Kluyveromyces lactis: one gene and its partners. The protein of the gene in region 1 binds, or shares a complex with, the protein of each later gene. Links are inferred from orthologs where the notes say so. Each region holds a gene or a part of one and is shown in the gene's direction. Other genes may lie near its edges. The genes, in order: LSM6, LSM5 and LSM1.

Region 1 (2,279 bases):
CTTCTCCTCATGGTACTTCTTCCTGGCTAAAAGTCGTTCATGACAAGTTATACAGAATAACCCTTTCTTTGTCTTTGCATACCTAAGATCGTTAATTTTTTCACCACATTTGCAACATTTGAAACATTCAGAACAATAAGCTTCATTCGATGATGCAAGAATGATAGCCAAATCATCGATCTTCTTACCGCAATTTTTGCATGAGTCCGAGCACTCGAAACATATGAGATCACTTGTACCCAGAACTAAGAAATCCGAGTCACAACTTAGAGGCTTATCACATTTGTAGCAGGAGAAACAGTGGGTGTGCCATCTATTTCCGCCTAATTCGTACGCATGACCCATAGTAATATGGTTCGTACAACGAACACATACTGACGTCTCAGCAGCCCCCTTCGGAGAGGCAGACATACGGTAATTAGTTTTGCAGATGTAGCACGCTGTGGAGGTGATGGTCTTGTAGTGTGTTCGTTTGTCCCTGGATCAATAACTTTTTGATCTAATGGATCAAAAGCTGAAAAGAAATCTAAGATTAATCTTCGAATCGAAAGTATAATAATAACAGAACACGCACAAAGAGCACGACACACCAAAAAAAAAAAAAAGTTAATAGAGAGATGTATTAGCAGCGGCTTTATACTATGATATTTTCTTGCCACGCACCGTTAGAGAGTACTATATAAGGGAAAAGAATTCCAAGCTGTTCCTCGTGGACGGAGTAAATTCCCTCAATATGAATGTTGAGATCGAAATATAGATACGAGGGTTCAATTAACTCAAGGAATGTTTTGATCGAGAGTGAATGCAGCCCTATCTTGTTAAAATCCGAAACGTTTGAAGCGAGTTGATATAAATAAATCGTGTCTCAATCTTGATTATATATATGTACAATCGGTCCTAACCAGTGCTAAATATGGAAGTCAATTAGATAGGGAAACGTAAACAGCACACCACGTCAATTATATTCTAGCTGAATTGATATAGCATATCTATCAGCTGCAGAGAGCCACTAAGGTAAATTAGTGCTGTCTCTCAACGGTTTCGAAATGTATATATGCATTGAAACAAAATCAGGAACCAGGTTTGAGAATGTTTGAACTATGTGGTGTGCAGGCGTGATTTGGAGTTCAGTTTCTTTGTTTCAAGGTCTTAGAGTTCGAAGATTTTGGCTAAAATTGGAGTCAAAGAATGCTGGTTGTTGTCGGAATGTATCCAGGAAGAACCTTTGACATTTGTTTCCAAGCTAGAGCAATATATTACTATAATCTGCGCTGTTCCCTTCCATTCATTTAATTAATTAATTTATTACTTACTGCATATCACTTAATTCACTTTACCACAGATCACGTGACTAGAACATTCTTTCCCTTTTACTTCAACGTGAACAATGAAAAGTGAACTTTGTTAATATAACGTTGAACTGATGGAGAATGATGAGAGTAGGTTCAGATGCAAGAACTACAGGCTTCTTCATATCTTTATTTCGACGCTACCAAATTTCAAAGGCATAGATTGTTAACACATCATGGAATCTAAGGCAACGGCTTCTGGCTCCTTTTTGGAGAACATCATTGGAAAACCAGTATACGTCAAGCTATTCTCAGGAATATTGTATCAAGGTAAGCTAGAATCAATTGATGGGTTTATGAACGTCACAATGTCACAAGTGTCGGAACATTATGAGGCAGAAGAGAACGGAACTTTGCATAAATATCCTTCTGAAGTATTTCTAAGGGGATCGCAGGTGTTATACATTAGCGAAAAATAGGCTTCGATTGGGCAATAAGATTGACTTCGACCAATGACTTTTGTAAGTCGATATTATAAAGTGTCCTATTTGCTCAGAAGCTCAATAACTACAATAATATGATAATACTAATAATAATTTATATACAAAAGTATATAATTGTATACTATAAAGATGGAACGTTATCAAAGCGGAAAGTGTTAAAAAATACTACGATGCACATATATAAAGCACCAAAGCATACATAAATTTAAATTCTGATTTTATTTTAAAATAATAAGAATATGTAGATATCTAATACAATAATAATATATATTAACCTTGTACCAGTGAGTTATACATTACTCTTTTCAAATTTTTATATCATGATTCTTAAAAGAGAAAATTTATTGTCATATCGTTAGAGAAAAGGAGATCAAAGAGGTTCCTTTCGTAGTTTCTTATTTATTCTGTGATAAAGAAAGCTTTCAGATCAAACAAACCGCGAACCTCATATCATGTTGTAGTTTTTTTTTGAGAATATATTAAAGAG
Region 2 (2,118 bases), about 670 kb from region 1:
TGTGGAGCAATGACGACAGAATGCACTCCAATGACAGGAGAAGAATCGTCTTGTGTGAAACTCATGCTTTCGTTGGTAATAAAAGTTAATTCCTTGGTACCGTTTTTTGGGATGGGGATCTTGGTACCAAAGATATGGCCAATCAACTTTTCTCCCAAAATCTCAGTGCCTTTAACGTCTCTAATGAAAAGACCCGAGCTCAATTCGGGGCACATCTTCAATCTGAATTCGATCTTCTCCTTTCCAGCCCTTTCTTCAGGTGGGAAGCCTTGTGCCTCTAGCTCTACTGATGCTTGGCAATCTTCTATCGTTAATGGTCTAATATAAACATGCAGTGGCAATGACGATGACATAGTGAAAATTCTTTTCTGATTTTATAATACTTAATAATGATTTCCTAATGTTGTTTCTTCAATTCTAGCCACAATAATACAATTATTTGCTCCTTATTCTAGTTTGCTTCTAAAATCAATCGAACCTTATTATCAACAATGGTATTCAACTCCTAGACCAATTGATTTTATCAACTAGTGTTAGACAGATATGATGTCTTTGTGAACTGCTCAATAACGGAAGTGATAGTCTTGTGAGATGTGTGTCTATATGTATTTGTTATCCTTATCCTTATCATCATATGTAAAACCTTAGTATATATGATTGATATTGCAATTGAATTGTTATTTTGATATTGTACAAAGGAGAAACAACAGTTGCGGCAAGAATATAGAAATTACGCACCACTTGGTAGGAATTTGTGAGTGATAACCAAATCTAAAGTTGACAGAACCTGTAAATACCGGACTGGCAAGTTGAATGGTCACCAGAGGCTTAATCTTGGACCAGAACGCCAATCATCACAGCTGGTGAACAGTGTCTCAGGGACACCTGATGTTCGTGTTTAGTGAGATGTCATGTGACCCGTACCGTCCGTTCCTAGCGAAATTGCATGTTGTTTAAGCCTTTGTAGCCAACAGCACCATCAAGTCGATGCCAATAGATACAACATTCTTGGCCTACCTTGTAGCAGCTTTTAAGGCTTTTTATGGGCTCATTTCTTTACTTTATTGCCTTCTTTCGGCCAACTACGCTTACTTTCACCATACAATCACATATTGAGAGAGCTTTGAAAGTTTCAAGAAATAAGTACCTTTGATCAAAGAGATAAAGCTGTGAGCTGACGACAACTACTGTCTATTAGTATCATTAGACTATTAAAACCTCCTGCTCTACTACTGCATCAACACATATTTATAAAACGACGGGATATGAGTAGTGTTTCAGAGATTTTGCCCCTAGAGGTCATTGACAAAACAATAGGACAGGAAGTGACCATTCTACTTAAAGATTACAGAGAATTCTTTGGTACGCTAGTAGGGTTCGATGATTACGTTAATGTTGTCATTGAAAATGCGGTAGAGTATTTGGAAGACCAGGAGATTAAAAGATTCCAGGGAAAGATGTTATTGACTGGTAACAACATTGCTATGTTGATACCTGGTGGAAAACCTGCTTCAAATTAAACAATGGAACTGCATATTGATGTTCAAAACGAAATCTGTAACATGCATGCTGTTTTTTTCTCTCTCAGATGTTTGGTATTGATATATTGACTAACATCCTTTGTAAGTATATATTATATATTTTATATGTAAAATAATTATCATATTGAAGTGCAGCTTATACAAAAAATGAATCAATGCAAACGTACGAGACGTTTGATATACCGTATCCGAAGGTTTGTTGATTTTTGTTGTTCAACTATATCATGCCAAGGGATCGAAAAACCATTCGATCTTAGTGTTTTCAAAAACTCTCATACCCATAGTTTTTGACTCTTTCATTTTGTCCAAGGTAGGATCAGCCCTGGTTATTAGCCAAGGCTTGATAACTTTTGGTTGCAAGACGTATTTGTTGATCAAGATGTATGAGATTACAGCATAAACGGCACCGACGAATAAATCGTATCTGAAATGGTGATCCAAATATTGGGTTGACCACCATTGTAAGCATACGAAAATCGTACCCAAAAATTTTGGTAACAGACCTTTATGGAAAATGTAGAGCCATTTGGACTCTAGAATATGAACTGGCAAAACCTGCTGTTTGGCAAGGATTTTA
Region 3 (2,498 bases), about 1.1 Mb from region 1:
TCCGAAGCCGATTCTAACACTGTTTTGATCGACGCATCGAGACAAAACAACTTCCATTTCATTGTCATCTTGAAAGACATAAGTAATGATATCTTGCTAATAGTGAGATCCCAAGGTTACCCCTCCAAATGGGCCAAATGGTTACAATCCGATGCACTAAGCGATGAGGAATCCACAGAAAAAATCGACCCAAGTGATTGGGTGAAACCATGGATATCCGAAGGTCTTGATCTAACTTTCGGTATTCTTGCCCAACAATACGTCATAAGCAGAATGAATTTGTGAAGTGTCTTTTACATACATATTTTAAAACCCTAATTACTGTTATTAATCATCATTATTATACTCCCATATCAGTTTTTTGGTAACCATTTCTCTTTCAACGATTGAACCGTCGTGCCTAATACAGCTTTTTCCCAGTCAACCCATAAGCTCGTCTGTTTATTCCAAGACCCATTCTCGACACATTTCTGCAATGGTGACCCAAATAGTGGATCCTCAGCAGCTTTTTTCAAAAGAGATTCCGTCTTAGGAATCTGTTCCATTAAGTCGGGCTTATCAATTTTTGCCAAATATTCCAATTGATCTCTAGTAGGGAATTTCTGGCATATTTCAATGTTGATTTTGTTCTTGTGGTTCGATTTTAATGCCGTTAGAAGATTTTGAGCATGAGATGATTCTAATTTGTGTGTGAATAATGTCACTACGCGAGGTTGAAATTGGATGGTTTTAAACATAGACATGATGAATTGAAGATACTGATTGTCAATGTCCCCCTCTATAAAAAATTCGAACTTTTACTCAGTTAAATACTTCAGTCTAATTAAGTCAGGTCACCCCAGTAATTGTTGCTGCCTTTATATACGCAATACTAAATTAAGACATCTTTGAAATATGTACATTTTGGAAATCATACTATTATCCCTCAAATACGCATGGCAGGGAAACAAAATCCCGGAAAATCCAGCAATCAATACTATGATACGGAGTCATGACGTCCCTACTTAGTATCCGGATTGGCAGCACCTTTCACCTACTTGGAAACAGAATCATCAAGCTAACCATTTGTGCCTTGTCTGTGCAATGACTATGCGGTCCTGTAGCAAAGGTAGTCATCCTATAGTTACCCTGCCTCAACGTTACCATACATTTTTTTTCTTCAATTCGTTTCAGCTAGCTCAACATCAAATGGAATTGCAATGAACTGCCAAAAAGATGAATCGTTGGACGCTTTAACGGCCTATTTATCCTTCAAGTGATACCCAGAACTATCACAATCAGTGTTGAATTTTACAATTCATTATAATCTTTTTTTTTTTTTTCACTTGCTCATTGAAAGAATCAGAGTCTCAAATTACAAATGTCCTCTTCGTCTCCGAATAGCGACAGAGCAAGTTCAGTAGGAGTTACTGAACCAGTGGCTTCCGATGTGGAAGAAAATCGTCCTAAGTCCAAGCTATCAGAAGGTGAAGCAGATTTATATTTGGACCAATACAATTTCACAACTACAGCTGCCATTGTTGGCTCAGTAGACCGCAAGATATTCGTACTATTGCGCGATGGCCGTATGTTCTTCGGTGTACTAAGGACGTTTGATCAATATGCCAACTTAATACTACAGCATACGGTGGAAAGAATATATATCGAGGGTGAGAATAAATATGGTGAATGTGACAGAGGAGTTTTCATGATAAGAGGTGAAAACGTTGTTATGTTGGGCGAAGTAGACATCGATAAGGAGGATGCACCATTGGAATCGATGGAACGTGTTCCATTTGAGGAAGCTGAAAGCTATAAGGAGAAAATGGACGAGGTGAAATACAAGGAGAACACTGCTAAGGGTAAGAGACTAGCGCAGCTTGGTTTAACTACCGATTTCAATAAAGGTGATTTGTATTAAGTATAAGATTATAATTAGTTTAAAAGACAAGCAAAAAAAAATCGTAAAACATACAATTCGAAACTAAACTAAACTAAACTAAATCATTACACAAACTGGAGATCGTGTGGTTTTGAAGGGTATTTATCTTTTGATACTCAATTATATATCACATAGAGATATATATATTCACTTATATATGGTTCGGTACTGTACTATTCATAATAAGTAAAATGCATAGATAGCGCGGCATGGCATTCCAAAAAAAAAAAAAAAAAAATTAATGGGACAATAATCCCCATTTGACATAAAATAGAACCATTATAACGGTCAAAATTAATTCTTAACTAACGGATCAACTCATTTGCCAGCGAGCGTCGTTAATTCTTGATCGTATGTCTTTTGAAATTTGTTATAATTACTGATTTCCAACCTCCCCAGTTGTGATATTAATGATTCGTCCGGCGTATCATTAATTCTTAGCGATCGACTCACTTGCCACATATGTGACAAGGGTGTTTGTGTTGAACAGAGTCCGTAACATCCATGCAACTGGATAGACCAATCCACCAGTGACGAGATTTCCTTTGGTGTCACGGCTTTCACCATCCCAATTTCT

Evidence for each region.
Region 2: the proteins of LSM6 (region 1) and LSM5 are in contact, whole or in part, in a crystal structure (PDB 4M78), measured with the Saccharomyces cerevisiae proteins. The link is inferred for Kluyveromyces lactis from reciprocal best matches to the Saccharomyces cerevisiae genes LSM6 and LSM5. Residues at the interface, in NP_010666.2 of Saccharomyces cerevisiae: Val11, Thr12, Phe15, Leu16, Asp18, Asn25, Lys27, Leu33, Met45, Glu57, Ser58, Asn59, Val78, Met79, Tyr80, Ile81, Ser82, Glu83, Gln84; in NP_011073.1 of Saccharomyces cerevisiae: Leu24, Arg28, Phe30, Val35, Phe37, Asp38, Asn42, Ile44, Glu50, Leu52, Val64, Met65, His67, His68, Gly69, Arg70, Met71, Leu72, Leu73, Ser74.
Region 3: the proteins of LSM6 (region 1) and LSM1 are in contact, whole or in part, in a crystal structure (PDB 4M75), measured with the Saccharomyces cerevisiae proteins. The link is inferred for Kluyveromyces lactis from reciprocal best matches to the Saccharomyces cerevisiae genes LSM6 and LSM1. Residues at the interface, in NP_010666.2 of Saccharomyces cerevisiae: Ser30, Leu32, Tyr56, Leu64; in NP_012411.1 of Saccharomyces cerevisiae: Ala158, Arg159, His160, Gly161, Val163, Asp165.

What each region holds. Positions count from the first base shown.
Region 1 is NC_006041.1:232,649-234,927, reverse strand, and holds LSM6 (U4/U6-U5 snRNP complex subunit LSM6), read left to right. Parts: upstream 1-1,525; coding exon 1,526-1,768; downstream 1,769-2,279. Other genes in the region: GTPase-activating protein RGA2, read right to left, coding at 1-411. UniProt on the Saccharomyces cerevisiae protein: Component of LSm protein complexes, which are involved in RNA processing and may function in a chaperone-like manner. Component of the cytoplasmic LSM1-LSM7 complex which is involved in mRNA degradation by activating the decapping step.
Region 2 is NC_006041.1:902,603-904,720, reverse strand, and holds LSM5 (RNA-binding protein LSM5), read left to right. Parts: upstream 1-1,265; coding exon 1,266-1,520; downstream 1,521-2,118. Other genes in the region: PAA1 (polyamine acetyltransferase), read right to left, coding at 1-353; IPT1 (inositolphosphotransferase), read right to left, coding at 1,764-2,118. UniProt on the Saccharomyces cerevisiae protein: Component of LSm protein complexes, which are involved in RNA processing and may function in a chaperone-like manner. Component of the cytoplasmic LSM1-LSM7 complex which is involved in mRNA degradation by activating the decapping step.
Region 3 is NC_006041.1:1,347,997-1,350,494, forward strand, and holds LSM1 (Lsm1p), read left to right. Parts: upstream 1-1,360; coding exon 1,361-1,900; downstream 1,901-2,498. Other genes in the region: DUF5427 domain-containing protein MTC1, read left to right, coding at 1-285; FMP46 (putative redox protein), read right to left, coding at 354-743; KLLA0_E15181g (uncharacterized protein), read right to left, coding at 2,240-2,498. UniProt on the Saccharomyces cerevisiae protein: Component of the cytoplasmic LSM1-LSM7 complex which is involved in mRNA degradation by activating the decapping step.